Anolis sagrei: one gene and its partners. The protein of the gene in region 1 binds, or shares a complex with, the protein of each later gene. Links are inferred from orthologs where the notes say so. Each region holds a gene or a part of one and is shown in the gene's direction. Other genes may lie near its edges. The genes, in order: SF3B3, MFAP1, SF3B4 and DDX42.

Region 1 (7,951 bases):
TGCTAGGTTGGCAGAAGCTGGGGCTAACCGCGGGAGCTCACCCTGCTCCCTGGATTCGAACCGTTAGCCTTTCGATCAGCAAGTTCAGCACCTCAGCAGTTTAACCTGCTGCATCATCAGGTGGCCCTCTGAAGTGTAACTCCAGCCATATGTATGTGCATGTGTGTATATATACACACACTAGCCGTCCCCTGCCATGCGTTGCTGTGGCCCACATGGAGGTTCTGTGTGGGAGGTCTGGCCCAATTCTATCGTTAGTGAGGTTCAGAACGCTCTGTGATAGTAGGTGAACTATAAATCCCAGCAACTACAACTCCCAAATGTCAAGATCTATTTCCCCCAAACTCCATCTGTGCTCATATTTGGACATATTGAGTATTCCTACCAAGTTTGGTCCGGATCCATCATTGTTTGAGTCCACAGTGCTCTCTGGATGTAGGTGAACTACAACTCCCAAACTCAAGGTCATTGCCCACCCAAACCCTTCTAGTATTTTCTGTTGGTCATGGGAGTTCTGTGTGCCAAGTTTGGTTCAATTCTTTCGTTGGTGGGGTTCGGAATGCTCTTTGATTGTAGCTGAACTATAAATCCCAGCAACTACAACTCCCAAATGACAAAATCATAATTTTTGAGTGAAGGACATACATTGGGTTGTTAGGTGTGTTGTGTCCAAATTTGGTGTCAATTCGCCCAGTGGTTTTTGAGTTGTGTTAATCCCACAAACAAACATTACATTTTTATTTATATAGATATAGAATTATATATACACACACAGACACATACATATAGTCATGCATACATACACACACACACGTGTGTGTGTGTGTGTGTATAATCTTGGATGGCCTAGGGAAGGGCAAACACCCCTGTGGTGTTTCCTTTGCTGTCTGTGCCCTTGTTTGGAAGATTTCACCTCACTTTCTACTCTTGTAAGAATTGGATTTTGGAAATCTGCCTGTTGTGGAAACAAGGTTTGGGGCTAGAGCTTCATTGGAAACCCACTTTCCCCCTTGATACTGTGGATTTCCCTCCCTTCCTTCCCTCCTACTTCCTGTTCTCTCAGCCCCGTTGTTCTTAGCGAGGGCCCCTTCCTCCTAGCTGAAAAAAATCCCACGTTATCTGCTTTGAATTGGAATATGTGGCAGTGTGGACTCAGATAACTGTGGGATTTCCTGCCTTGATATTCTGGGTTCGATGGCTGTGTGGAAGGGTCCTAGGATGTTTGCGACTCATACAGAAATGGCATCCGATACCTTCTCGTCCCTGCCGGCTGAGCTCAATGACCGACTTGTCCAGCGAAAGGTAGCGATGGATGTGAGCGGCGGCTTGCTCGTAATCTTCGCCCCGCAGGGCCGTCTGAACTCCGTCCATGCAGAACTTCAGGTCCAAGATGTCATCCGCTCTCTGGATGGCCTGGTAGAGGCGGTTCTGCAAGAAGAAGAAGATAAAAAACTCGTGCGCCAGCTGTGCCCGTACCTTGGGAAGTCTGACTTGGCCACGGTAGTCCACGCTCTGGTTACATCCCGTTTAGACTACTGCAACACTCTCTACGTGGGGTTGCCTTTGAAGACGGCCTGGAAGCTCCAATTAGTCCAACGCTCGGCAGCCATGATTTTAACAGGAGCGGAGCGCAGAGAGCATACAACTCCTCTGCTGCACCAACTCCACTGGCTGCCGATCTGCTACCGGGCTCAATTCAAAGTGCTGGCGTTGACCTTTAAAGCCCTAAACGGTTCTGGCCCAACTTATCTATCCAAACGTATCTCGGCCTATCAGCCCACCAGGACCCTAAGATCTTCTGGGGAGGCCCTGCTCTCTATCCCGCCTGCTTCACAGGTGCGGCTGGCGGGGACGAGAGACAGGGCCTTTTCTGTGGTGGCCCCGCGGCTCTGGAACGCCCTCCCCATGGAGGTAAGATCAGCCCCCTCATTGATGGTATTCCGGAAAAGACTAAAAACCTGGATGTTCGAGCAGGCGTTCGGTTAACCCAGTGCAATAAATGTAATGATTGAAGGACTGGCAATTTGGACGACGAAACTGGATCACGTTTTTAGTCAAGAGATGTATTGGATTGTTTATTGATATATGTATTGTGGATTATGTTTTTATGCTTTTTAAACTGTATACTGTTGTTTGTTATAAGTTGTTGTAAACCGCGTTGAGTCGCCGGCTAGGCTGAGAAACGGCGGTATACAAGTATAGCAAATAAATAAATAAATAAAATAATGAGCCATCCCTGCAGTTGGCCTCCTGCAGCCAAGTGGGTACGGAGGAGATGACGGGGCGATTCCTGCCTGACAGGGTTACCTTGGCCAGATCCAGCTGCCGGACTTTGCTGCTGACGTTCTCTGCCAGGTTGCAGGTGAAGGTGATCATCCCGGCCAACTGCTTGGCATCGCCTTCGATCAGCTGCAGGTTGGGGCTGGAAACAGAGAGGAGGGAAAGAAGCCACTCTGGCTCTCACGGCGTCCACTCTCTCCGTCCTTGGCAATGTTAGAGCCTTGCACCCCTAAACACCCTTGCAAACTATGTGCAAAATATCTCACTCACCCCATGCGATGGAGGGAAGCCATCTTGCCCTCGATTGTGCCCTGCTGTTCCAGAAGCATCTCCAGCTCTTCCTCGACTGTGATCTGAAAACATACCAAGGGAATGGCTTTTTAGGTGTTCACTGTAACCAAAATAATAATAATAATAATAATAATAATAATAATGGCTGCATGGCCATCTGTCAGGAGTGCTTTGATTGTGCTTTTCCTGCATGGCATAATGGGTTTGGACTAGATGGCCCTTGGGGTCCCTTCCAACTCTAGGATTCTATTATTATTACTGAGGCTGGGTGGCCATCTGTTGGGAGGGCTTTGATGGCGCTTTTCCTGCATGGCAAGGGTTGGACTGAATGGCCCATGCGATCCCTTCCAACCCTATATTATTATTGAATATTATTGAGGGTGGTATTATTATTATTATTATATTATTATTATTATTATTATTATTATTATTATTATTATTATGCCTGCATGGCCACCTGCCAGGGGTGCTTCAATTGTGCTTTTCCTGCATGGCATCATGGAGTTGGACTGGATGGCCCTTGGGGTCCCTTCCAACTCTATTATTATTATTATTATTGCTGAATGGCCACCTGTCAGGGGTGCTTTGATTGTGCTTTTCCTGCATGGTATAATGGGTTTGGACTGGATGGCCCTTGGAGTCCCTTCCAACTCTAGGATTCTATTATTATTATTATTATTATTATTATTATTATTATTATTACTGAGGCTAGATGGCCTTTGGGGTCCCTTTGAACTCTATCATCATCATGAATATTATTGAGGCTGGACGGCCATCTATCAGGGAGGCTTTGATGGTGCTTTTCCTGCATGGCATAATGGGTTTGGACTGGATGGCCCTTGGGGTCTCTTCCAACTCTAGGATTCTATTATTATTATCATTATTACTGAGGCTGGATGGTCATCATGTCAGGGGGGCTTTGATGGTGCATTTCCTGCATGTCAGAAAGGGGTTGGACTAGTTGGCCTTTGGGGATCCCTTCCAACTCTATTATTATTATTATGGCTGAATGGCCATCTGTCAGGGGTGCTTTGATAGTGCTTTTCCTGCATGGCAGGGGTTGGACTGGATGGCCCTTGGGGTCCCTTCCAACTCTAGGATTCTACTACTACTACTACTATTATTATTATTACTGAGGCTAGTTGGCCTTTGAGGTCCCTTTGAACTTTATCATCATCATCATCATTACCATCATGAATATTATTGAGGCTTGACGGCCATCTATCAGGGGGGCTTTGATGGTGCTTTTCCTGCATGGCATCATGGAGTTGGACTGGATGGCCCATGTGGTCTCTTCCAACTCTATTATTATTATTATTATTATTATTATTATGGTTGCATGGCATCATGAGGTTGGACTGGATGGCCTTTGGGGTCCATTCCAACTAGGATTCTATTATTATTATTATTATTATTTCTGAGCCTGGATGGGCTATCTGTTGGGAGGGCTTTGATGGTGCTTTTCCTGAATGTCAGAAAATGGTTGGACTAGTTGGCCTTTGGGGGTCCCTTCCCACTCTATTATTATTATGGCTGCATGGCCATCTGTCAGGGGTGCTTTGATGGTGCTTTTCCTGCATGGCAGAAAGGGGTTGGACTAGGTGGCCTTTGGGGGTCCCTTCCAACTCTATTATTGTGATTCCATGACCCTCCCCCATATTCCTTCATTTCCGGGTTGGGCTGGATGCCCTCTGGGGACCCTTCCTGCCTCCTTTCCCACCTCTTCCGCGCAGAGGCGGCTGTAGGCGGCCTCGAGCTCCGTGAGGCCGGGGAGGGCGCGTATTTCCTCCATGGAGAGCGAGGCAGAGGCGGCAGGAGGAACTCCGGGTCCGCCAACCGCGCGGCCTTCCTTCCCCAGCGCCGCCATCTTGGCCCCGCGCCCCTCACCATCATCACTTCCGGTTTGCCGGTCGAAAATTGTCTCAGGCGCGCCGAGGGCAGCCCCGCAGAAGAGCGCAAGGAAGGAAGGACCCCTACTCAAAAGCATCACTTCCGGTTGGCCGGGCGGAAGTCGCTCCGGGAATTCGCTCAGGCGCGCCGAAGGCAGCCCCGGGCAGAGAGAGAGGAAAGAAGGAAGGACCCCTTTTGGCCTGCGCGCGCGGGAAGAGAGGCCGCCATGGCGCCGCTGAGGTGAAGCAGGCCGCGGCCGGGAAAATCCTTCGCCATCCTCGCCGTGCCGGGGCCCCAGCCACGCCGGGGAGACTCACAACGGGAGCCGGGGTCTCCCTTGGGCCGGGATTGGAGGTAGGCCCGGGCGGAGGAGCCGGAGAGGCCGAGGAGGAGGAGGAGGAGGAGGGCCGGGGCCTAGGCCGGAGCCTCAAGCCTGGCCGCCCAGAGGGATAGGAAGGCCTCCTCTGAGGGAAAGGCCTCAGAGTGAGTGTTAGCATAGAATACAATAGCTTTCACGCCTGGCCGCCGTGAGGGAAAGACCTCAGGGATTCCTCGCATATCAAAGGGAAAGGCCTCAGAGTGAGTGTAGGAAGGTCTTCTTTCTCAGAGCTGGAGAAGGGAGAAAGCCCCTACCACACGGGAGATGTGCACAAATAATAAGGAAAGGAAGGCCCCCTCTGAGGGAAAGGCCTCAGAGTGAGTGTTAGGAAGGGCTTTTCTCTCAGTGCTGGAGAAGGGAGAAAGTGCGTCTGGCCGCCCTGAGGGAAAGGCCTCAGAGTGAGTGTGAGCATAGAATAGAATAGCTTTCACGCCTGGCCGCCGTGAGGGAAAGGCCTCCGCAGAGAGACTTCGCATAGCAAAGGGAAAGGCCTCAGAGTGAGTGTGAGCATGGAATATAATAGCTTTCATGCCTGGCTACCCTGAAGGAAAGGCCTCAGGGATTCTTCGCATATCAAAGGGAAAGGCCTCAGAGTGAGTGTAGGAAGGTCTTCTTTCTCAGAGCTGGAGAAGGGGGAAAGGAGGCACATCAATGTGAAGCCATGAAGTTCAGCATAGCCATAACTCTAGAGTAAAAGTGAGCCTTCAGCCTGCCTGTCCTTGTCTTTGTCACCCTGCACCGTCTGCCAGATGGCAATAATAAGGCATTGTAAGGAGGGCCTTCCTTCTCAGAGCTGGAGAAGGGAGAAAGTAGGTAGGCCACGGTCCCAATGACACTCAAGCAATACTGGGTATACACACAAATACATAGAATATAATAGTGTTGGCCCATGCCTGATGTGCATTGTACAATGAGATTAAATGCTTTCCCCTTGCACACACTGCACAACCCCCAAAACCACATCAATGTGAAGCCATGGAGTTCATCATAGCCACAGCTCCAGGGTGAAAGCGATCCTTCAGCCTGCCTGTCCTTGTCTTTGTCACCCTGTGCTATCTGCCAGAAAGAAATAAGAGAAGAATATAATAGAATAGAACCGCTTTATTGTTATTGTGCATCTGGAATGGGCCTGGTGTTGGTCCACGCCTGATGCGCATTGTGCAACGAGATTAAATGCCTTTCCCTTGCACATCCCCTCAGGCCACATCAATGAAATGCTATGGAGTTCAGCATAGCCACAACTTAAGAGTAAAAGCTATCCTTCAGCCTGTCTGTCCTTTTCTTTGTCACCCTGCACTGTCTGCCAGGTGGCAATAAGAAGGCATTTCTTCCTTCTCAGAGCTGGAGAAGGGAGAAGGTAGGCAGGCCACAGTCTCAATAACACTCAAGCAATACTGGGTATACACACAAATATATAGAATAAATACTTTTATTATCATTGTGCATCAGGAATGGGTCTGATATGCATTGTACAGCGAGATTAAATCCCCCCCCCCTTGCACACACTGCACACTCCAAGGCCTCATTGGTGAAATGCCACAGAGTTTAGCATAGCCACAGCTCTAGTCAGTCAAAGCGATCCTTCAGTCTGTCTGTCCTTTTCTCTGTCACCCTGCGCCATCTGCCAGATAGCAATAATAAGAGGAGAATAGTATAGAACAGCTTTATTGCCATTGTGCTTCAGGCATGGTCCTGGTGTTGACCCAGCACATACCGCAAAACAACACACCTACCCCTCCACATTCTAATTGTTATGGCACATCGATGTGAAGCCATGGAGTTCAGCATAGCCACAGTTCCAAAGTAAAAGCTATCCTTCAGCCTGTCCTTGTCCTTGTCGCACTGCACCATCTGCCAGATAGCAATAATAAGAGAATAGACTAGTATAGAATAGCTTTATTGCCACCATGCATCAGGAATGGGCCTGGTGTTGGTCCATGCCTGATGTGCATTGTGCAACTAGATTAAATGCTTTCCCCCCACACACCGCAAAGACAACACACGCCCACCTCCACCGCACAGCCTCCAATGCCACATCAATGCAGGCTGGCAGCGGTTCCAGTGACACTCAAGCAACACTGTATATATGCACAAATACATAGACTAGAATAGCTTTGTTGTCGTTGTACATTAATAATGGGCCTGGTGTTGGCCCATGCCTGATGTGTATCGTGCAACAGGATTAAATGCCTTTCCCTTGCACATCAACGAAGTGCTGTGGAGTTTAGCATAGCCACAGCTCTAGGGTGAAAGCTATCCTTCAGCCTGCCTGTCCTTGTCTTTGTCACCCTGTGCCGTCTACCAGGTGGCAATAATAAGGCATTGTAAGGAGGACCTTCCTTGTCAGAGCTGGAGAAGGGAGAAAGAAAATTGATTCCTTCTTAGCATATCAAGGAGATCAATATATTCAGAGTGTGGTGTTTTCATGTTGACAAGATGCTTTCTTCCTCAAACCAAATATTGAGGGATTTGCAAAGTGGTGTTTTGATTTTGGAAATGCTTGTATGATGCATTCTTGCCTATGATCTCGATCCCCTTTTCTGAATCGGTGAGCATTCATTTCAATGTGTGGATCGATTCCATTCTATGCGTTTGTCTCTAATGGCTTGACTCTGTTGCTGGCAGGAGGACGGAGGTGAAGACCTCGAACCGGCACCATGTTCCTTTACAACCTGACCTTGCAGCGAGCCACAGGCATCAGCTATGCCATCCATGGCAATTTTTCAGGTGAGTGCCATTCTAACTGGTAGCATGTATGTGCAGCTAATGCAGGAGCCACCTCGTAAGACCCATATGTTGGACTGCGCTCCCTCATCTCTTTTAAAACCCTATACCAGATATATCCTACCTTGTTCATACATTTGGCCCGGCCATAGGTTTTTAAATCTTTGTGTGTTATTGTTTATTGGTTATTCTTTATATGCGATTTATATAAATACAAATACAGAGTAGCTAATATAGAAAATTGAATGACCTGACAATGGAATTGGACATTGCTTGAGAATAATGAGATGCTGATGATGTTGCTTTTATTGCTTTTGTGATGTCTTATACTATTTAATGTTTTTTATCTATATTATGTTTTATGTGTACTGATTTGTTGGAAACTGC
Region 2 (7,871 bases), on another chromosome or scaffold:
GGTTCAAACCATCCTTAGGCTCCAAAGACAAACACAGGCCAGAGGTTGAAGGTAGTAGGGAACATGACATGTTTTATTTTTAAATACTTGCACAATCTAATTGTACAATGGTAGTAAGAGTATACTTTGGAAGCCTCTTTGAGCACTTCATAATCCGCCAGTGATGTTAAATGTCACCTAAGAAGAACGTATCTGACAAAACCAGCTCCGCCAAAGCACTTGGCTCATTGCCCTCCTCCACACACAACTCCTCCTCCTCCTCCGTGGCTTTTCTCACTGTTCTTGCCTTTCCAAAGTTAAACCATAGGTCACTCAGCCATCTGACTTCCTCCCACACACAGCTTAAAATGCAAAAAGCAGGGCAAAACTTTTCAGGGCATCCAAAGGGCTAAAACTGCTATCGTTTAGAAAGTTAGTAATAGGAGTAAGTGTCCCTAATCAACATCCAAAAGGTGAACTGTTCTTCCAAACTTGCAAAAGTTTTAGAACAAAAAGAATTCATTTGATTCTAGATCCAAGCCACAGATCTAACACCTACATCTCATTCTGATCTTTAACCCAAATGCAAGATGGTTCTAAGATAAGTTTGCTTTCCAAGGGGCCAACCTTATTAGAAACTAGGCCAGGCCCTATTTTCAGAATTATGTATGCCAGGGAAAAAAAGGTTTAGGTGAGAATTAGCTTCGAAATGGCAACATCAAAGCTCTGCAAGTCTGCTAATCAATGGTCCAGGGGAAATTGAAAGTGAAAAAGTGAAGGCAATGCTATAAAAAAAGGGGGAAACAAACAAATGTGAATACATACGCATGTGACCATTTTTATGGCCAGATTGGAAGGGGAGATGACACAAGGAAAATGACCAGCCTGCTGTCCTCACAAGGCTCCCATGATGTTTGGACATAGCATTGACTCGCATGGGATCCAATGAGTGTTGTTGTTGTTTGGTGCCTTTGTGTTGTCACTGACTTATGGAGACTTCATCATGGGGTTTACTTGGCATGATTTGTTCAGAGGAGGTTTGCCCTTGTGGCTGAGAGAGTGCCCCAGCCTTTCACTCAGCCCACTGGAGGACCAAGTGATTCCAAGGAAGATCACCTTCTGGGAACTTAGGTCATTTTCTTTGGGACCTTCTGAGACAGCAACCTTTAACGCCTCTTTCTCCTGGCCTTCTTATCTCGCTGGCATTTTCCCTAATCCACAAAGTGATGCACCTGAGGACAATGTGTCCACCTCTCTGTTATTGTTTCAGTTCTCATTATGACTCCTCTGACAAAAGACTTCCAGGAGGGATATTCTCTGAATCCTTACTAGTGCAGGTCAGTGCTGCCCACCCATCTCCTCAATGCCACCTGAACATGGATAGAAGGCAGCCCTGTTCCCCTTTCTGATCCGACCTGCTCTTTCTGAGAACGTGCAAGGAGAAAACTCCATGTTCTTTTCCTGTGGCCAGCTCTGATCCATCCCTTGGGCACCTGGAGCCCCTGATGTGAGGAAGCCATGAGGCCAGGGGTCTGGTCAAGAATAGAATAAAATGACTTCATTGTCATTGTACATCATACAACAAAATTTAATGCCACCCCCCATACCCATTAAATGTGTATGATGACAAAAACAAAGCACCATTCTTCCACAGTGTGGAACCCTAGAATTTAAAAGAATCACAGCCCTGGGATAAAACCTCTTTCTCAGCCTATTTGTCCTTGTTTTGCTCATCCTATCCCACCTCTTCAGATGATAATAATTAGACGAAAAAGAAGAATATCCAGGGTGAGATGGATCCTTAAGAATATTCTGAGCTTTCTTAAGGCAGCTGGAAGTATGACATTGTTCCAAAGAGGAGAGAAAAAGGGAAACCCATAATACTCTGGGCAGGAGTGAGAAGTAACACTCTGGAATGCCTTCGTATCTCCCGCTGTGCAATTGGCAAACCGTATGCAGATGCAATAAGTTAGAACACTCTCTATAGCGCAGTGGTAGAAAAGTCAAAAGCAGTTTTCCATCCAATTGTTGGTTCCTTAAAAGTGTCAGATAAATGACCACACATGAGGGAGCACCCAGGGATGGCTCTACCATGAGGCTAAAGGAAGTGGTTGGATTATAGTTTGATACTGTTATTTTTAGATTATCTTGTCAATTCTTTAATCCGTGTGACAAAATAATTTGACTGACAAAATGCCATGGGCAAGTCATCTATATTAACTAATATGCATGTTCTAGTTGTAATTAAACATAATCCTGTACCCTGGAAACTAATATAACATTGCTCATAATTTTCCATCTTTCACCACAGTGAAACTGAGTAATTGAATTACACAGCTATATCTAACGGGTCATATGTTCAAGTGAAAAGTAGAACTTACTGCAGTTTTGTTTTGCTTTATAAAAGGAATGATAATATTAATATGAAAAATGCCTCTTAATCCAAGTGTTAACATATATTTATGTTAAAACATTTTTTTAATTCAATAAAGTTTGAAAAAGGCCTCCTGGTGGCACAGCGGGTTAAACCACTGAGCTGCTAAATTTGCTGACTGAAAGGTTGGCGGTTCGAATCCAGAGAGCAGTGAGCTCCTGCTGTTAGGCCCAGCTTCTGCCAACCTAGTAGTTTGAAAACATGTAAATGTGAGTAGATGAATAGGTACTGCTTCGACCCGAAGATAAAGGCGCTCCATGCATAATAATAATAATAATAATAATAACAATAATAATAATAATCTTTATTTATACCTCACATCTCCCCGAAGGGGACTAAGGGCAGCTAACATGAGGCCAAGCCTAAAGATACAATACAGCAAAATAAAGTGCATAATACAACAACAAAAATTACATCACAATAAAGTACATACAGTGGCAAAATAAAGTAAACAAAGCAAAATAGCATAATAGAAAATCGAACACAATGGGCAGGCCAAATGGACAAGATAAAATGATAAAACCTTGAATGAGGTAGGAGTAGAAAAAGTGTATTTGAGAGGAGCCCAAAAAGAACGAACAGTACGGTTAGGCCTTCAATTTAGGACGGGAGAAAGTGCATCATAAGGACAACACTGTAGATGGAACAGACAGAAATGGGATGAATGGTCACTCTCTAAAGGCACAACTGAAGAACCAGGTTTTCAGATCTTTCTTAAAGATTGCTAGAGTGGGGGCTTGCCTAATCTCACCAGGTAATGAGTTACAAAGATGAGCACCACTCCTGAATTGGACACGATTAGACTTAATGTCAAGGGAAAACCTTTACCTTTACTAGCGTTTGAAAACTGAAAAAGAAAAGTCTCAGATAATAATACAATCTCTGCTGGACTCCCTTAACCAAGGAAGCTGCAGTATGAACGCTGCCCTTGGTCTGGTCTTCCTGATCTTGACAATATAGCAGCCAAGTTTGTGGGACCAGAATTGCCTAAACAGCGGAGTGCAATGGGAGGGTGCATCTCCCTTGTAGAGTTGATGCAGTATAACTTGCTATGGCAGGAAGGCCTTGCAAAACTGTAACTCTTGGGACTCTATTGGTCCAACAAGTGACCTGGTGTCCAGCTGCATTTGTTCTGCATCTCTGCCCCTTTGCCACTGAGGCCCAGGCAAAGGGCCAGAGGCAACAGGCGAAGCATGTCATCAAAGCACAGGCTGCCCTTGGTTTCCTTGTTTGCACAGAGGCTCTCAAAGAGGGACCTAGTGAAGATAAACAACGCTTTATCAGAAGATAAACAAAGCTCCCCTTCTAGGCCCTTTAGGACAACAAACAACGTTAACTTCCCGTCTGTCAAGATGAAAGAAGGGGAAGAGAGGGTTGCATCATTAGCGTCTGCTCCAATGATGACACCAGGCATGGACAAACCTGGACCCTCCAGGTGTTTTGGACTTCAACTCCCACCATTCCTAACAGCCACAAGCTCTTTGGGCCCTACAGATGTTTTGGACTCCAACTCCCACCATTCCTAACAGCCTCAAGCTCTTTGGGCCCTCCAGGTGTTCTGGATTTGAACTCCCACAATTCCTAACAACCGCTCTTTGGGCCCTCCAGGTGTTTTGGACTCTAACTCCCACAATTCCTAACAGCCTCAGGCTCTTTGAGCTCTCCAGGTGTTTTGGACTTCAACTCCCACAATTCCTAACAGCCACAGGCTCTTTAGGCCCTCCAGGTGTTTTGGACTTCAACTCCCAGAATTCCTAACAGCATCAGGCTCTTTGGGCCCTCCAGGTGCTTTGGACTTCAAGTTCCACAATTCCAAACAGCTTTAAGTTCTTTGAGCCCTTCAGGTGTTTCGGACTTCAACTCCCACCATTCCTAACAGCCACAGGCTCTTTGGGCCCTCCAGGTGTTTTGGACTTCAACACCCACCATTCCTAACAGCCTCAGGCTCTTTGAACCCTCCAGGTGTTTTGGACTTGAACTTCAACCATTCCTAACAGCCTCAGGCTCTTTGAACCCTCCAGGTGTTTTGGACTTCAACTCCCATCATTCCTAACAGCCTCAGGTCCCTTCCTTTCCCCCCTCAGCCGCTTAAGGAAAAGGAAAGGGCCTGAGGCTGTTAGGAATGGTGGGAGTTGGAGTCCAAAGCACCTGGAGGACCCAAGTTGGTCCAGGCCTGTTCTTAAGCAGCTGAGAGGGGAAAGGAGGGTCCCTGAGGATGTTAGGAATTGTGGGATGTGGAGTCCAAAACACCTGGAGGGCCCAAGTTGGTCCAGGCCTGGATTACACTCTCTCAGCCTCAGAGGAAATCCCCGTCTGCCACCTTTTCCGGAAGAAGTCTGGCCCAGGAAGACGCTTCCGCGCCGACAGAGGGCGCAGACGGTATGAGTCGCTCTATCCAGCTCCGCTCGTTGGTCCTCTTTGGGAGCGGAAGTCACGCGCTCCCTCTGGGCTTGTTTACCTACGAAGCTTCCGGTTCCGGGTTTCCCCGCGAGAGGCGAAGCGAGAGGGATCCGCCGTGCCTAGTGTTGCCTCTGCCGCTTCTACGGCCTCTACCGCCGCCATGTCGGGCTCCAGCAGCGCCCTCATGAAGCAGCCGCCCATCCAGTCCACGGCGGGGGCCGTCCCCGTCCGAAATGAGAAAGGTGAGAACGTGGCCATATTCGGGCCCCGCTGAGGCCTGCTTCTTCTGCGCCTCCTCCTTTCTGGTCTCCTTCTTTGAACAGAGGCCGAGTGGCCACCTGTCGTGAGAGCTTTGATCGTGTCTTCCGTCCTGGCCGAAGGGGGTTGGACTGAAGCACCTTTAAAAATCCCTTCCTATTCTTATTCTTTGCTGTTACTATGTTGTCGAAGGCTTTCATGGCCGGAATTACTGGGGTGCTGTGAGTTTTCTGGTCTGCATGGCCATGTTCCAGAAGCATTCTCTCCTGACGTTTCGCCTGCATCTATGGCAGGCATCCTCAGAAGTTGTGAGGTCTGTTGGAAACTAGGGTTATATATCTGTGGAATGTCTAGGATGGGAGAAAGAACGCTTGTCTGTTTGAAGCAGGTGTGAATGTTCCAATGGGCCACCTTGATTAGCATTTAATGGCCTAGCAGTTTTCAAGGTGTGGCTTCTTACTGCCTGGGGGCATCCTTCGTTGAGAGATTATTAGCTTTTTTGTCATGTCAGGAGCGACTTGCGAAACTGCAAGTCGCTTCTGGTGTGAGAGAATTGGCCATATGCAAGGACATTGCCCAGGAGATGCCCAGATGTTTTGGTGGTTTACCATCCATGTGGGAGGCTTCTCTCATGTCCCCGCATTCAAACCTGTGACCTGTTGGTCTTCAGTCCTGCTGGCATAGGGGTTTAACCCATTGCCTCTTGTAAGCTGCACCGAGTCCTTCAGGAGATTTTTTTTTGTCGTGTAAGGAGTGACTCCTGGTGTGAGAGAATTGGCCATCTGCAAGGACGTTGCCCAGGGGACGCCTGGATGATTTGATGTTTTTATCATCCTTGTGGGAGGCTTCTCTCATGTCCCCGCATGAGGAGCTGGAGCTGATAGAGGGAGCTCATCCGCCTCTCCCCGGATTCAAACCTGTGACCTGTCAGTCTTCAGTCCTGCCTGCACAGGGGTTTAACCCACTGCACCACCGGGGGCTTCTTCCTTCGGGAGATGGTAGCGGGGTACAAATAAAGCTTTATTATTATTATTATTATTATTATTATTGTGCCACCAGGGGCTCCAGGTGATTAGCTGTCCCTGATTGTTTCTTGTCCGGAGCTCCCCAGTCTTTATTTAATAAAAAAATCTGGCTACCAGTATTACAAATCTCTAAAATCATAATAAAGACAGGGGATCCTTGAGCCGTGAGGAGGGGCGGGTAAGAATTATTATTATTATTATTATTATTATTATTATTATTATGTTCCCGGTGGTACCCATGTTAGATATTTTGTAGTCCTATTTATTAGGAAGAGTTGTTTGTTTGGTTTTGGTTGTTATGAATGGACCCATTAGAAAACATATTGCTGCATAATGGGATCATTTCTAAAATGGTTCAGGTGAAGGATGCAACCCTCACATGGTCCACGTTTGGCCAGCTGTAATTCCCATGCCCTCCTTCAGTTGTGAGTGGGGCTCAGGCAGCACCCCTGAAGGGCCTTGATTTCAGTTCCCATCATGCACTATTGTGCCTCCCTAATGTCACCAGTATTTTAAGCTGGTTGTGCAAGTATGCGTGCTGAGTTTGTGGAAAAATAGATAAACACATATGCTGATACATATGTTAACAAATATACAAATATTTTGACCTTTATTGCATAGATAGATGATTTGGTGACCCTTTCTTTTTCTGCTTCATATCTTCAGGGGAGATCTCCATGGAGAAGGTGAAGGTGAAGCGCTATGTCTCGGGGAAGCGCCCAGACTATGCGCCCATGGAATCCTCGGATGAGGAGGAGGAGGAATTCCAGTTCATCAAGAAGGCCAAGGAGCAGGAGCAAGAGCCCGAGGAGCAGGAGGAGGAGCTGGCCAGCGACCCCCGCCTGCGCCGCCTCCAGAACCGCATCTCAGAGGACGTAGAGGAGAGGTTGGCGCGGCACCGAAAGATTGTGGAGCCGGAGGTGATAGGGGAGAGCGACTCCGAAGTGGAGGGAGAGGACTGGCATGTGGAGCGAGAGGACACCAGCGAGGAGGAAGAGGAGGAAGTGGATGACGAGGTACAGGGCAGCTTGGGTTGTGCTGTATGCTCTTTCTTGGCAGAAGAAACTCTGATCTTTTGTGTGTGAGTGTGTATACACACACATACATATACACTTACTTGAGTACCTGGCTTTGCCCAGGTTATTTAAAAAAATCAATGTTTTAATTGTACAAAATGCATAAGGTTGTGGATGAGCTGCAACTCATATTGTGCCAGGATAACCTTGAAAACCTCCATCAGTACTTCAAGTTTGTTATGTTGGGCAAGTTTGCTCTAGATGCATTATTGGTAGGGTTCAATGTGCTCTCTGGCTGTAGAGTAAACTACAATTCCCACTATGGTGAGTCAGTCCCCTCAAAACTCCTACAGTAGGTTCAGTTGCTCATGGGGGTTCTGTGTACCAAGTTTGGTCCAGGTCCATCATTGATGGAGGTCACAGTTTCTCTGGTTATGGGTGAACTACAACTCCCAGAAAGGAAGGTCAGTTCCTCCCAAACCTCTCCAGTAATCAAATTTTGGCATATCAGGTATGTATGCTGAGTTTGGTCCATTGGTGTTTGGGTTCACAGTGCTCTCTGCATGTAGGTGAACTACAACTCCCCCAAGTCATGGTGGATTTTCCTCAAATAACTCCAGTATGTTTTACTGGTCATGGAGGTTCTGTGTGCCAAGCTCGGTCCAAGAAGGGGGAAGGGGAAAGCAGGAAATAAAGAAAAAGGTTAACAAAATAATGAGAGAGAGAGAAAGGGGGAGGTGGGGAAATTACTGTTAGTAA
Region 3 (7,795 bases), on another chromosome or scaffold:
AGGAATGTAATATCTCTCCCTCTCCATCTCTGTATATCATGTTTGCAAGTTTCCCCCTGTTTACCTTCTTGTTTTTGAGTGCCTGTGTATATATATATATCTCATTCAGGGGAAATATAGTTCCTCTGGTGCTGTATAGACATTCCATGGGGAAGTTTTCATGCTGCTGTTAGAGTTTTTTTTCATTTGGTACGTTGTTTATAAGCTTTAGTCCAAGAGCCTTAAGCAAAGGAGGCACAAGTGGTTTAAAGCAGCAATAATAATAATGATAATAATAATAATAATAATAATGCAACATTTTTGTATTTTTTTTCATGAGCTTTAGCTTAGGAGCCATAAGAAAAGGAAGCACAAGCTGTTTAACACTTATTATTATTACTATTATTATTATTATTATTACTATTATTATTATTAGTCATTTCATATGTTTTCATTCAGGAACCATAAGAGAAGGATGCTAATAATAATAATAATAATAATAATGACTATTATTAGACATTTCATAAGTTTTCGTTCAGGAGCCGTAAGAGAAGGACATCAGAAGACGCTTCCTTCTTGGGAGGAGAGCAATGTCCAGTCTCGATAAAATAGTGAAGAGTAGAGACATCAGACTGGCAACAAAGATCCGCCTAGTCAAAGCCATGGTATTCCCTGTAGTCACCTACGGATGTGAGAGCTGGACCTTAGGGAAGGCTGAGCGAAGGAAGATAGATGCTTTTGAACTGTGGTGTTGGAGGAAAGTTCTGAGAGTGCCTTGGACTGCGAGAAGATCCAACCAGTCCATCCTCCAGGAAATAAAGCCCGACTGCTCACTGGAGGGAAAGATACTAGAGACAAAGTTGAAGTACTTTGGTCACATCATGAGGAGACAGGAAAGCCTAGAGAAGACAATTATGCTGGGGAAAGTGGAAGGCAAAAGGAAGAGGGGCCGACCAAGGGCAAGATGGATGGATGGCATCCTTGAAGTGACTGGACTGACCTTGAGGGAGCTGGGGGTGGTGACGGCCGACAGGGAGCTCTGGCGTGGGCTGGTCCATGAGGTCACGAAGAGTCGGAGACGACTGAACGAATGAACAACAACAACAACAACAAGAGAAGGACACTAATAATAATAATAATAATAATAATACTCAGTTCTTGTGGGTTTTTTCGGGCTATATGGCCATGTTCTAGAGGCATTTCTCCTGACGTTTCGCCTGTATCTATGGCAAGCTTCCTCAGAGGTGAGGTTATAATAATAATAATAATAATAATAATAACGAAAGCTTATGAAATGACTAATTATTATTATTATTACTAACGTCCTTCTCTTATGGCTCCTGAAAGAAAGCTTATGAAATGACTAATAATAGTCATTATTATTATTATTATGACTATTATTAGTAATTTCATAAGCTTTCTTTCAGGAGCCGTAAGAGAAGGACACTAATAATAATAATAACAATGAAAGCTTATGAAATGACTAATAATAATAATAGTTATTATTATTATTATTATTAGTGTCCTTCGTTTACAGCTCCTGAAAGAAAGCTTATGAAATGATTAATAATAATAATAATAATAATAATAATTATTATTATTATCAATAATGTCCTTCTCTTATGGCTCCTGAAAGAAAGCTTGTGAAATGACTAAGAGTAATTATTATTATTATTACTATTATTAGTCATTTCATATGCTTTCTTTCAGGAGCCAACAATAATAATAATAATAATAATAATAATAATAATAATGCGTCCTTTTCTTGCGGCTCCTGAAATAAGGTTTATGAAATGACTAATAATAGTCATTATTATTATTATTATGACTATTATTAGTCATTTCATAAGCTTTGGTACAGGAGCCGTAAGACAAGGACGCTAATAATAATATTAATAATAATAATGACTATTATTAGTCATTTCATAAGCTTTCGTTCAGGAGCTGTAAGAGAAGGACGCTAATAATAATAATAGTAATAATAATAATAATAATAATTATTATTATTACTATTATTAGTCATTTCATAAGCTTTGGTTCAGGAGCCGTAAGATAAGGACACTTATTATTATTATTATTATTATTATTATTATTATTATTATGACTATTATTAGTCATTTCATAAGCTTTCGTTCAGGAGTTGTAAGAGAAGGATGCTAATAATAATAATAATAATAATAATGACTATTATTAGTCATCTCATAAGCTTTCTTTCAGGAGCTGTCAGAGAAGGAGTCTAATAATAATAATAATAATAATAATAATAATAATAATGATAAAGCAACAACAGTAAAAGCATAAGAATAAAATAAATATGGCATACATTTGCTTGTGGTTACGAAATTAGATAAATACTGCTCTCAGGTGCAATTGTAAATAGGCTGGAAATGGGATGGAAATAATAATGTTCTTGGCTTTCTATTTTAGTTGCATATCTTTGGCTTGTTCTCAGCTTTGACAAATACATTATTGCTGGATTTGGTTTTCAAAATGTTCTTTATGGGATAGATTGCTGTATATATATATATAGCTTGTTCCCAATGTTTACCTTTGCACAGCACTTAGGATGGGAACTGTGTGCTGATTTTTACACGTTTCTTGTGGCATGACGCACACGAGTAAAAACCCAGGTATCTTCTCCACAACCCATAATATAATTTTATATGGCAGGAGCTCCATTTCAGCCTCTATTAAAGATTTCAGTATTTTAAGAACTCCCAATGGTGCTCTCTTTGTTTCTTGTCTCTGAGTAGCCATTAAAAAAAATCATTTTTTGGGAACAAATGACTACCTGGCGCCCTGTGCAGCCCTTCTTCCATTGGGCTTACGTGAGTTTTCCGGGCTGTATGGACATGTTCCTGAAGCATTCTCTCCTGACGTTTCTCCCCCATCTATGGCAGGTTGAGGGGTCTGTGGGATAATGTCCAGGATGGGAGAAAGAACTCTTCTCTGTTGGAGGCAAGTGGGAATGCTGCAAGTGGCCAGCTTGATTAGCATCGAATGGCCTTGCAGCTTCAAAGCCTGGCTGCTTCCTGCAAGGGGGCATCCTTTGTTGGGAGGTGGGTGGGAGAAAGAACTCTTGTCTGTTAGAGGCAAGTAATGTTGCCAGCATCGAATGGTCTTGCAGTTTCAAAGCCTGACTGCTTCCTGCAAGGGGGAATCCTTAGTTGGGAGGTGGGTGGGAGAAAGAACTCTTTGTCTATTGGAGGCAAACGTGAATGTTGCCAGCATCGAATGGCCTTGCAGTTTCAAAGCCTGGCTGCTTCCTGCCTGAGGGAATCCTTAGTTGGGAGGTGGTTGGGAGAAAGAACTCTTGTCCATTGGAGACAAGTGTGAATGTTGTCAGCACTGAGTGGCCTTGCAGCTTCAAAGCCTGGCTGCTTCCTGCCTGGGAGACTCCTTAGTTGGGAGGTGGGTGAGAGAAAGAACTCTTGTCTATTAGAGGCAAGTGTGAAAGTTGCAAGTGGCGTCCTTGATTAGCATCGAATGGCCTTGCAGCTCCAAAGCCTGGCTGCTTCCTGCCGGGGGAATCCTTTCTTTGGAGGTGGGTGGGAGAAAGAACTCTTGTCTGAGGCAAGTGGCCACCGTGAGTAGCATCAAATGGCCTTGCACCTTCAAAGCCTGGCTGCTTCCTGCAAGGGGAAATCCTTTGTTGGGAGGTGGGTGGGAGAAAGAACTCTTGTCTGTCTGAGATAAGTGTGAATGTTGCAAGTGGCCACCTTGATTAGCATCGAATGGCCTTGCACCTTCAAAGCCTGGCTGCTTCCAGCCTGGGGGTATCCTTTGTTGGGAGGTGGGTGGGAGGAAGAACTCTTGTCTGTCTGAGATAAGTGTGAATGTTGCAAGTGGCCACCGTGATTAGCATCGAATGGCCTTGCACCTTCAAAGCCTGGCTGCTTCTTGCGAGGGGGGAATCCTTTGTTGGAAGGTGGAAGGAAGAAAGAACTCTGAGGATGCTTGCCATAGATGCAGGCGAAACGTCAGCAGAAATGCCTCTAGAACATGGCTCTATAGCCCGAAAAAACCCACAAGAACCTAAAGAACTCTTTGTCTGTTGGAGGCAAGCGTGAATGTTGCCAGCATCGAATGGCCTTGCAGCTTCAAAGCCTGGCTGCCGGGGGGAATCCTTTGTTGGGAGGTGTTAGCTGGCCCTGATTGTTTCCTGTCTGGAATCCCCCTGTTTTTTAAGTGTTGCTCTTTATTTACTGTCCTAATTTGAAGAAGTTTTTTTTCAAATACTGGTAGCCAGAAAGAAAGAAAAGGAAGGGAAAGATATATGTGGGAAGGCAAAGAAAGAAGGCTGCTGATTAGTTGAATAGCAACCCTAGTACTAACACTTCCGCCCTCTCTCAAAATGGCGGCGACGGTGTGCGTAGGTGTTTTTGCGCATGCGCACCTTTACTTTGCCTCCTCTTTCCTTTTAGTCGACGACGATCCTGCTTTCCTCGCCCTCCTTGTTCCTCAAAACACACAATAAACCGAGTGATTCATTTCATTCCTTTCCCCTTTTTGACAAAAAGAGTCGACGCGGGTTTTATTTTGCCAGGACACAAGATGGCCGACGGTGTTGACATTCCTCTGGCCCTCAGAAGAGCCACTTCCGGTCTAAAACGGAAGTTGCCCTGAAATGGACAGAAAAAGGGTGTATTGGGCCCAAGATGCTGCTTCGCCCTCACTTAGCGTCACTTCCGTCCTGGAACGGAAGTAGCCTTGCGTAGCGCTCTCCCGCCTCGGCGCCGGGGAGTGTGGCATCCAAGATGGCGGCGGGGCCCATCTCTGAGCGGAACCAAGGTAAAGGCAGGGAGGAGGAGGCCTGTTTGAGAAGGCCCAACAGCCCCAATGGCCTCCGAACGTCCCTCAAAGGAAGGAGAGAGGGGAATATTAGGGTCTGGAGAGTCTCTTCTCTGGTTTAGGCGCCAATAATGGCGGCTAGGCCAAACTGGGAAGGGGAAGCTCCAGCATTTCTGGCCTCCCTTTCCATTTCCAGCCAGGGTTTGTAGCTCTGTTGCACAAGGGCCCGCTCCAGCAGGAATTAAGCAACGAATTAACGAATCAGTGGGTTGTTGTAGGTTAGAAACAACATCATACGAAAGCTGACTGGCACAACCTGGGGATCACAACCAGACACAGTGAAGACATCTATCTGCCCTTGCGCTATGCTACTCTGCTGCTGAGTATGCATGCCCAGTGTGGAACACATCTCACCACGCTCAAACAGTGGATGTGGCTCTTAATGAGACATGCCGCATTATCACGGGATGTCTGCGCCCCACACCACTGGAGAAATTACACTGCTTAGCCTGTATTGCACCACCTGACATCCGCCGGGGAGTAGCAGCCAATAGTGAAAGGACCAAGGCAGAGACATCTCCAGCCCATCCTCTGTTTGGGTATCAGCCAGCACGTCAACGACTTAAATCAAGACATAGTTTTCTAAGATCTACAGAGACACTCGCTGGAACACCCCAGCAAGCGAGAGTCCAAAAGTGTCAGGCTCAAACCCAGCACCTCCATCCATGGGTGATACCAGATGAGAGACTCCCCCCGGGCACTCAGAAGACTGGGCGACTTGGAAGGCGCTGCACAGACTGTGCTCTGGCACCACGAGATGCTGAGCCAGTCTTAAGAAATGGGGCCCATTTTACCTGTCCGAACGGCCCAGTTTATCTGTCCGAACGTATTCTCCCCTATGAACCATCTAGGTTGTTAAGATTGTCTGGAGGGGCCCTGCTCTCAGTCCCACTGGCCTCTCAGGCATGTCTGGTGGGGATGAGGGACAGGGCCTTCTCGGTGGTGGTCCCTCGACTCTGGAACTCTCTCCCACTGGAGATCGGAACTGCCCCCTCCATTCTGTCGTTCAGAAAACAGGTGAAAACCTGGCTATGGGGTTTGGCTTTCGACGAGTGAATCAGTATTTCTGTGATTGGATAGATGACGATGAATGATGGACAACGAGTTCACTATGACGACTGACCATTGTTATTATGTGATTGCATTTTGCTGTTATAACGTTTTAATTGAATATGTTATATGATGTTTTTAATGATTGTTTTGTGATTTTATTGTTGGAAACTGGCCCGAGTCCCCCGATAGAGGGGAGAAGACCGGTATACAAAATTGCTAAATAAATAAATAGTCTGCTGGAGCTAGGTGGGAATGCAGTAATAATTTATTTGTTGTGTCAGGGCAACCAGTCAATTATATTACATTTTTAACAGAACAAAGCAAACAAACAGACAAAATACAACATTTGTGAGTTTGGTGGTTGATTAAATGTCTTTTGACCAGTATCTGGCCACTTGGAGTGCTTCTGGTGTTGCCGCAAGAAGGTCCTCCATTGTGCATGTGGCTGGGCTCAGGTTGCATTGCAGCAGGTGGTCAGTGGTTTGCTCTTCTCCACACTCGCATGTCGTGGATTCCACTTTGTAACCCCATTTCTTATGGTTGGCTCTGCATCTCGAAGTGCGGTCTGTTTGGTGCCTTCCAAGTCGCCCAGTTTTCTGTGTGCCCAGGGGGGGGGGGGGGGCTCTCTCATTTGGTATCAGCCATGGATTGAGGTTCTGGGTTTGAGCCAGCCAAAGTGTGGAACACATTTCACCACACTAAAACAGTGGATGTGGCACTTAATGAGACATGCCAAATTATTACGGGGTGTCTGAGCCCTACACCACTGGAGAAATTACACTGTCTAGCCGGTATTGCACCACCTGACATCCGCCAGGAAGTAGCAGCCAAGTGAAAGGACCAAGGCAGAGACATCTCCAGCACATCCCCTGTTTAGATATCAGCCAGCACGTCAACGACTTAAATCAAGACATAGTTTTCTGGGATCTACAGAGACACTCACTGGAACACCCCAGCAAGCGAGAGTTCAAAAGTGGCAGGCTCAAACCCAGAACCTCAATCAATGGCTGAGGGAAAGTAACGGCGCCCCATGCAATCATGCCGGCCACATGGCCCAGGAGGTGTTTACGGACAATGCAGGCTCTTTGGCTTAAAAATGGGAGATGAGCACCACCCCCAGAGCCAGAGTTGAAGGGGAATCCTTTATCTTTATCCGTGTGTCTGTATTTCATTGTTTCAAGGCATTGAATGTTTCCCTGTGTCAGTACATGCTGGAATCCGTCCTGAGTCCCTCGGGGAGATGGAGCGGAATACAAATAAAGAGTTGTTATATTATTATTATTAGCCAAGAATTCTGGGAGTTGGAGGCCCAAACAGCTGGAGGACTGTGGTTTAGGGATGCCTGATCTAGAACTAGACTTTTAATTGATGCAGCCTAGGATCACATCAAAGTCAGCTTTAGGTTCAAATGTAACATCAGCAAACAAGATTCATGAAGGCATTTGAGACTATAACTATTGTCCCTCTCTTATCTGCTGCAGATGCCACTGTGTATGTTGGCGGCCTGGATGAAAAAGTCAGCGAACCCCTCCTGTGGGAACTCTTCCTCCAAGCAGGACCAGTGGTTAACACTCACATGCCCAAAGACAGAGTCACGGGCCAACATCAAGGTAAGCAATTCCAGCACCTTTTCTCAATGTGCTGTGTTATGAATGGAGTAAATCCACCAGCTCTTAGACGTTAAGCAGGGGCAGGCCTGGTGAGTACTTGGATTGAAGGCTACCAAGAAATCTCAAGTTCTGTAGCTGTATTTCAAAGGTAAAATCACCTCTGTGTATTCCTTGCCCAGGAAAACCCTCTGAAATTCATGGGGTCGTCACAAGTCGTCAAGGCACATACACAAACAAGATCCTTTTACTTCAAATCTTGAAGACTAGACTTCCAGAGCATGGGAAAATAAGGCTCCTTTTAG
Region 4 (8,099 bases), on another chromosome or scaffold:
CTTCCATCCTTTTCTTTCTTTCCTTCCTTCCTTTCTTCCTTCCCTCTCTTTCCTTCCTTCTCTTTCTTTCTTTCTCCTTCCTTCCTTCTTTTTCTTTCTTTCTTTCCTTCCTTCTCCTTCCTTCCTTTTCTTTCCTTCCTTCTTTCTCTTTCCTTCCATCCTTCTCCTTCCTTCTTTCTTTCTTTCTCCTTCCTTCCTTTTTCTTTCTTTCTTTCTTTCTTTCTTTCTTTCCTTCCTTCTCCTTTTTTCCTTCCTTTTCCTTCTTTCCTTCTCATTCCTTCCTTCTTTTCTTTCTTTCTTTCTTTCCTTCTTTCCTTCCTTCCTTCCTTTTCTTTCTTTCACTATTCTTACTTACTAAAATCTCATACTACAGTAAGATATACATCTTTTTCAGGAATACCTCCGTTTCATTATTTATATGGTTATTTATTTTGCTATTCTTGAAATCTCAAAGTGCAATAAAGGAGATTAAAATATAAATAATTATAAAAATGTGATGGTGATAATGATATTTATTTTACCCCACTTTCCTCTTTTAAATTAGGCTTGAAGCTTTTTAAGGCTCACAACCTTAAAAACAATACAGCTATGGCCCTTTTTACACTGCTGTACAAAATCCAGATTACCTGCTTTGGCAGTATAGACTCCTGTAATCCAGTTCAAAGCAGATAATGTAGATTGTCTATTGTGTGATTTTTGGCCTTGATGGCCCTTCCACACAGTCATATAACCCAGAATATCAAGGCAGATAATCCATAATATCCACTTAACTGAGTTATCTAAGTCCACACTGCCATATAATCCAGTTAATGTGGGATTTTATACAGCTGTGTAGAAGGGACTTCATATAATACATTTCAAAGCAAATGTGGATTATCTGCTTTGATAATCTGGATTATATGACAGTGTAGAAGGGGCCTTAGAACCCACAACGTATCATCTATGGTTGGATTATATGAGTCTACATTGCCATATAATCCAGTTCAAAACAGATGATCTGAATTTTATATGACAGAATAGATCCAGCCACAGGGTGTAAACATAAACTGAAAAGCCTGATTTGCATTGATAGCTAGACATAGCTATCAGATAGCCTTTCGGACTACTGACAGCTATTTGTCTTATCAGTCCTACCCAATAGTTATTAGTGGCACAGATTCAAATTTCAATTAACCTCTGATCTATATGTGTGTGTCAAAGTATGTATGTATGTCAGTTTATGCTACAAAGGCTCTTACTTGGTTTGATGGATCTGGGCCAAATTTGGCACACACACTTTTCATGGTCCAATTTAAAATAATTGAGGGGTTTGAACCTTATAAAGTCAAGAACATAGGGAAAGAAAAGGAATGAAGGGGATTAGCTGCTGCCCCTGGTGGAGCCCCTGGTGGCGCAGTGGGTTAAACCCCTGTGCCGGCAGGACTGAAGACCGACAGGTTGCAGGTTCGAATCCGGGGAGAGGCGGATGAGCTCCCTCTATCAGCTCCAGCTCCTCATGCGGGGACATGAGAGAAGCCTCCCACAAGGATGATAGAAAACATCAAATCATCCGGACATCCACTGGGCAACGTCCTTGCAGACGGCCAATTCTCTCATACCAGAAGCGACTACCAGAAGCGGCTTGCAGTTTCTCAAGTTACTCCTTACACGATAAAAAAAAAGCTGCTGCAATGTGAAGTGGCCCTTTGTCACATGACTGAAGAAGAACAGGAGTGAAGCAGACTGGCTGCTGCTTGGTGATACGAATAAAAAAAAGTAACGATCTACACTGCCATATAATCAAGAATATTTACTTTGAACTGGTTTATATGGCAGGTTAGATGTATATAGAGAAGACAATTATGCTGGGGAAAGTGGAAGGCAAAAGGAAGAGGGGCCGACCAAGGGCAAGATGGATGGATGGCATCCTTGAAGTGACTGGACTGACCTTGAGGGAGCTGGGGGTGGTAACGGCCGACAGGGAGCTCTGGCGTGGGCTGGTCCATGAGGTCACGAAGAGTCAGATATGACTGAACGAATGAACAACAACAACAAGATGTATATAATCCACTTCAAAGGAGTTAATGTGGATTATCTGCTTGGATAATCTGGATTATATGACAGTGTAGAAGGAGACTAACTCTGGAGGCCTGGGTTTGAATCCCTGCTTTGCCATTGAAACCCACTGGCTGACAAGTCATGCTCTTTCAACCTCAGAGGAAGGCAAATCTCATTTGGACAAATCTTCCAAGCAAACTTTGTACTATGACCTCTTCCACTCAGCCATATAACCCAGAATTTCAAGGCAGACAATCCACAATATCTGCTTTGAACTGGGGCCCTTTCCACACAGCTGTATAACATCCACATTGAATTGGATAACATGGCAGTGTGGATTCTGATAACCCAGTTTAAAGCAGATATTGTGGATTATCTACCTTGATATTCTGGGTTATATGGCTGGATGGAAGAACCCTAGATTAGGACTTTAGGATTGCTACAATTGGGGAATAATTTGGGGCCCTTCCACATAGCCATATAATCCAGAATATCAAGTCAAATAATCGACAATATCTGTTTTGAACTGGATCATCTGTGGCCCCTTCCACACAGTCAAATAAAATCCCATATTATCTGCTTTGAACTGGAAGATATGGCAGTGTAGACTCAGGGCCTGTCCACACAGCCCTGTATTCCAGAATATCAAGGCAGAAAATCCCACAATATCTGCTTTGAACTGGGTTATCTGAATCCATATTGCCATATAGGCCAGGGTGGTCCATGCCTTAAGTCACCTCTAGACTGGATTACTGTAATGCACTCTACGTGGGGCTGCCCTTGATGGTCCAACGGGCGGCAGCCAGGTTGTTAACCGGGGCTCCTTACAAGGAGCGGTCAACCCTCCTGTTTAAGGAGCTCCACTGGCTGCCATTCATTTTCCGGACCCAATTCAAGGTGCAGGTTCTCACCTGCAAAGCCCTGAACGGTTTGGGACCCGTCTACCTGCGTGACCACATTTCTGTATACGAACCCACACGATCTCTTCGATCACCTGGAGAGGCCCTGCTCACGCTCCCACCTGCATCGCAAGCGTGAGAGGGCCTTTTCGGTGGTGGCCCCTTGACCCTGGAACTCACTTCCTAAGGACATCAGGCATGCCCCAACTCGGCAGTCTTTAGGAGGAGCTTGAAGACGTGGTTGTTCCAGTGTGCTTTCCCAGAATAATGATCCCATAGCACTTTGTCCTCCAAACGCCCCATCACTTTTTCACCCATGTCCAGCATTATTTTTAAATTTTAATTACATTTGGCCTACCCATAGATTTTAAAGTGTGTGGGCCTATTGTTAATGCTTATATTATTGTTTTATTGTTTTGTTTGATTTTAATTGCTTCCATTGTTGTTGTTATTGCTTGTATTGTTGTATTCTGGGCTCGGCCTCATGTAAGCCGCACCGAGTCCCCTGGGGAGATGGTAAGGTAAAGGTAGCCCCCTGACATTAAGTCCAGTCATGTCTGACTCTCCATTTCTAAGCCGAAGAGCCAGCGTTGTCGTAGACACCTCCAAGTTCGTGTGGCTGGCATGACTACATGGAGCGCCGTTACCTTCCCGTCGGAGCGGTACCTATTGATCTACTCACATTTGCATGTTTTCGAACTGCTAGGTTGGCAGAAGCTAGGGCTGACAGCGGAAGCTCACGCCGCTCCCCGGAATCGAACCTGTGACCTTTCGATCAACAAGCTCAGCAGCTCAGTGCTTTAACCCACTGCGCCACCGGGGGCCCCAATGGGGAGATGGTAGCGGGATATAAATAAAAGTTTATTATTATTATTATTATTATTATTATATATTCCATTTCAAAGCAGATGTGGGATTTTATTTAACTGTGTGGAAGGGGGTCAGATAACCCAGTTCAAAGCATATATTGTGGGATTTTCTGCCTTGATATTCTGAGATGTAGGGCTGTGTGTAAGGGCCCTGAATCCACATTGCCATATTATTTATTTATTTACTTTACTTGTATACCGCAGTTTCTCAGCCCAACAGGCGACTCAACGCGGTTTACAACAAGGATAAACAAGGTTTATAACAAGGATAAAATCAATCAACGATATACAATTTAAAACCATAAGAGCATAGTATACAATATTGACACAACAATAAACAAACACAATACATCTTATAACTAGAGTCGTGATCCAATTCGTCGTCCAAATTTCCATTCCTGTAATCATCACATTCATTGCACTGTTTATCTGAATGCCTGTTCAAACATCCAAGTTTTTAATCTTCTTCGGAACACCATTAGTGAGGGGGCTGATCTAACCTCCATAGGGAGGGCGTTCCACAGCCGAGGGGCCACCACAGAAAAGGCCCTGTCTCTCGTCCCCGCCAGCCGCACCTGTGAAGCAGGCGGGATAGAGAGCAGGGCCTCCCCAGAAGATCTTAGGGTCCTGGCGGGCTGATAGGCAGAGATACGTTCGGATAGGTAACTTGGGCCAGAACCGTTTAGGGCTTTATAGGCCAGCGCCTGCACTTTGAATTGAGCCCGGTAGCAAATCGGGAGCCAGTGGAGCTGGTGCAGCAGAGGAGTTGTGTGCTCCCTGCGCTCTGCTCCTGTTACTATCATGGCTGCCGAGCGTTGGACTAGTTAGAGCTTCCGAGCCGTCTTCAAAGGCAACCCCACGTATATAATCCAGCTCAATGTGGATTTTTTAGAGCTGTGTGGAAGAGGCTTTGAAGGAACAAAATAATAAAATGAAATACGGAAAGCCCTAATTAACCAGAGCTCTACACAAGCCTCCTCCTGCTTAAAAGAGCCCATAAGGAAATAAAGGCACGTGTGACTCTTTCTTCTGACTCTACGGTGCTGCGCCTACTTATAACGTAAGCAGCCGCCACTGTCGATGGCGTCACCACGGAGGAGGACAGCGCGAGCGAGCCGTTGCGCGGTGACGTCATCGCGTCACGGTGGCCAACGTCGCGCCCCGTTTCTTCCCTCGTAGTAAAAGAGTGGAGTTCTGAGGGACGGCGGGAGAAAGGGCGGAAAAAGGAAGTGTCACACAAGGTGGTGGGTAAGAAGCGGGGAAATAAACACTGGGGGAAAGGAAGTAAAGGCGCAGGAAGCGCTGCCAGGCCTTGTGGGGTCGCTGGGGAAGAAGGAAGGGGAAGGGGGCGGGGCTGCGGCCTAGCGGAGCCACAGAAGCCTTTGGAGCTGATCCCGTTCTGTTTGTCTCCCCTCCGCCAGGCGACCTGGTCTCTCGCCTCCAGAGGAATCCGCCGGACTCTTGCCAAAGGTGACCAAGTAGGCGTGAAGCTTGAGCAGGTATTGACACTGAGGCGACGGGGGAAAGCGGCTTCCTCCAGAGGTCCTGATCCAAGCGGCCTCAGGGTGCATCTCCATGACAGAATTAATGCACTCAGTTCTTGTGGGTTTTTTTCGTGCTATATGGCCATGTTCTAGAGGCATTTCTCCTGACGTTTCGCCTGCATCTATGGCAAGCATCCTCAGAGGTAGTGAGGTCTGCTGGAACTAGGAAAAAGGGTTTATATATCTGTGGAATGACCAGGGTGAGACAAAGGGCTTTTGTAAGTTGGGCTAGGTGTTAATCTTTCAACTGACCACCTTGATTAGCATACAATGGGCTGACTGTGCCTGGAGCAAACTAGTTCCAGTAGACCTCACTACCTCTGAGGATGCTTGCCATAGATGCAGGCGAAACGTCAGGAGAAATGCCTCTAGAACATGGCCATATAGCCCGAAAAAACCCACAAGAACTGAGTGATTCCAGCCATGAAAGCCTTCGACAATACATAGAATTAATGCAGTTTGACATGACTTGGAACTGCTATTGGAACTGTACGCTTTGTAAGCCTTCGCTGTCTAAGAATGCGGTTGTCTCACCAAATCACAACTCCCAGGATCCTCAAGCATTGTGCACTGGCAGTTATGGTGATGTGAAACTGCATTAATTATATAGCGTAAATCTGGCAAACTCCCCCCCCCCCCAGGTGTTTTGGACTTCAAATCCCACAATTCCTAACAACCTATGGCTGTTAGGAAGTGTGGGGGTTAAAGTCCAAAACACAAGGAGGGACCAAATTTGTCCATGCCTGGTGTAGATGCACCCTCAGACTTACCTTCATTCATGACTGCTCACCCTACACTTTTAGTATTTTGTCTGGGTTTTTTTTTGCTTTGTTCTGTTAGAAATGTAATATAATCAACTGGTTGCACTGACACTATAAATAAATAAATAAATAAATAACCCTACACTGAAAAGTGACTGTTATTCCAGTTTCATAGGTCATTGGGTAAATGAGAGAGCAAAGTATGCCTTTAATCATTTAGAATAGTGTTTCTCAATTTATTTATTTATTTCGAGCGCTTATACCCCACCCTTCTCAATCCCCTAGGGGGGACTCAGGGCGGCTTACAAAAGGCACAATTCGATGCCTAACAGTTCACAAAATAAAATATAACAACAACAACTATAACTAGTTAAAACAATCCAATTAATACAATAGCAGCAATAAAATCATCTTGTGGTCAATGTTCGCCAATTCATAAATCCATAGTCCATCCAGCATTATCCTTTCCTACTCTGGTTGTCATTGTCCTTTATCCATCTGCCAGCTTACCCAAAGGCCTGGTCCCATATCCAGGTTTTTAACTTCCTTCTGAAAGAGAGGAAAGAGAGGAGGGATGCTGATGACCTAATTTCCCCGGGGAGTGAATTCCACAGGCGAGGGGCCACCACCGAGAAGGCCCTGTCCCTCGTCCCCACCAGCCTCTCAAACTCAGCTCCTCCAAATATTTTGGACTTCAGCTCCCGCAATTCCTAACAGCTGAACCCGACCCTCCTGACAATGAGCCATCTAGCCATAGATGTAGATAGATATATATGATTCACACACACACACACAGATATTTATTTATTTATTTATTTATTTATTTAGTACACTTGTATACCGCTAATATCTCAGCCTGTGCGGCGACTCATTGCGGTTTACAACATATTTAAAAATACAATATTCACTTTAAAAATATAAAATAAAATATAAAAATACATACATATACATACATAGTATTGGGCCACCAATACAGACCGGAACATCTCATAGTTAAAGTCGTAATCCAATTCGTTATCCTTGATTGCTAGTCCATGATCAAAACATCATCACATCGGAATTAGTTGAAAACTTGCTCGAACATCCAAGTTTTCAGTTTTTTCCGAAATGCCATTAGCGAGGTGGCTGATCTTATTTCAGTAGGGAGGGCATTCCAAAGCCGGGGGGCCACCACAGAAAAGGCCCTATCTCTCGTTCCCGCAAGCCGCACTTGTGAAGCAGGCGGGATGGAGAGAAGGGCTTCTCCTGAAGATCTTAGGGTCCTGGTGGGCTGATAGGCCGAGATACGTTCGGATAGGTATGTAGGGCCAGAACCATTTAGGGCTTTAAAGGTCAAAGCCAGCACTTTGAATTGGGCTCGGTAGCTAATCGGTAGCCAGTGGAGCTGGTACAGCAGAGGAGTTGTATGCTCCCTGCGCCCTGCTCCTGTTAATACCATGGCTGCCGCCCGTTGGACTAATTGGAGCTTCCGGGCCGTCTTCAAAGGCAACCCCACGTAGAGAGCGTTGCAGTAGTCAAGGCGGGATGTAACCAGAGCGTGGACTACCGTGGCCAAGTCAGACTTCCCAAGGTACGGTCGCAGTTGGCGCACGAGTCTTAACTGTGCGAATGCTCCCCTGGTCACCGCCGAAACCTGGGGATCCAGGCTCAGCGATGAGTCCAGGATCACACCCAAACTGCGAACCTGTGTCTTCAGGGGGAGTGCGACCCCGTCTAACACAGGCTGTAACCCTATACCCTGTTCGGCCCTGCGACTGACCAGGAGTACCTCTGTCTTGTCTGGATTCAATTTCAATTTGTTCGCCCCCATCCAGACCGTCACAGCGGCCAAGCACCGGTTCAGGACCTCGACAGCCTCCTTAGTAGCGGGTGGGAAGGAGTGACAGAGCTGGACATCATCTGCGTACAGATGACACCGCACCCCGAAACTCCGGATGATCTCGCCCAGCGGCTTCATGTAGATGTTAAACAACATGGGGGACAGTATTG

What was found.
Region 2: SF3B3 (region 1) and MFAP1 share a complex: the UniProt entries of both Homo sapiens proteins name them as parts of the spliceosome B complex. The link is inferred for Anolis sagrei from reciprocal best matches to the Homo sapiens genes SF3B3 and MFAP1.
Region 3: SF3B3 (region 1) and SF3B4 share a complex: the UniProt entries of both Homo sapiens proteins name them as parts of the SF3B subcomplex of the 17S U2 SnRNP complex. The link is inferred for Anolis sagrei from reciprocal best matches to the Homo sapiens genes SF3B3 and SF3B4.
Region 4: the proteins of SF3B3 (region 1) and DDX42 are in contact, whole or in part, in a cryo-EM structure (PDB 7EVN), measured with the Homo sapiens proteins. The link is inferred for Anolis sagrei from reciprocal best matches to the Homo sapiens genes SF3B3 and DDX42. Residues at the interface, in NP_036558.3 of Homo sapiens: Glu159, Ala160, His161, Tyr211, His219, Val220, Val221, Arg222, Lys223; in NP_031398.2 of Homo sapiens: Lys145, Gly146, Ile147, Arg148, Asp149, Asp150.

Annotation. Positions count from the first base shown.
Region 1 is NC_090028.1:506,468-514,418, forward strand, and holds the start of SF3B3 (splicing factor 3B subunit 3), read left to right. Parts: upstream 1-4,610; 5' UTR 4,611-4,815; intron 4,816-7,465; 5' UTR 7,466-7,497; coding exon 7,498-7,567; intron 7,568-7,951. UniProt on the Homo sapiens protein: Component of the 17S U2 SnRNP complex of the spliceosome, a large ribonucleoprotein complex that removes introns from transcribed pre-mRNAs.
Region 2 is NC_090029.1:22,573,412-22,581,282, reverse strand, and holds the start of MFAP1 (microfibrillar-associated protein 1), read left to right. Parts: upstream 1-4,624; 5' UTR 4,625-4,628; coding exon 4,629-5,055; intron 5,056-6,762; coding exon 6,763-7,112; intron 7,113-7,871. UniProt on the Homo sapiens protein: Involved in pre-mRNA splicing as a component of the spliceosome.
Region 3 is NC_090032.1:5,535,472-5,543,266, reverse strand, and holds the start of SF3B4 (splicing factor 3B subunit 4), read left to right. Parts: upstream 1-4,668; 5' UTR 4,669-4,736; coding exon 4,737-4,770; intron 4,771-7,364; coding exon 7,365-7,493; intron 7,494-7,795. UniProt on the Homo sapiens protein: Component of the 17S U2 SnRNP complex of the spliceosome, a large ribonucleoprotein complex that removes introns from transcribed pre-mRNAs.
Region 4 is NC_090026.1:29,726,523-29,734,621, reverse strand, and holds the start of DDX42 (ATP-dependent RNA helicase DDX42), read left to right. Parts: upstream 1-4,912; 5' UTR 4,913-5,049; exon of another isoform or gene 5,050-5,053; intron 5,054-5,226; 5' UTR 5,227-5,304; intron 5,305-8,099. UniProt on the Homo sapiens protein: ATP-dependent RNA helicase that binds to partially double-stranded RNAs (dsRNAs) in order to unwind RNA secondary structures. Unwinding is promoted in the presence of single-strand binding proteins.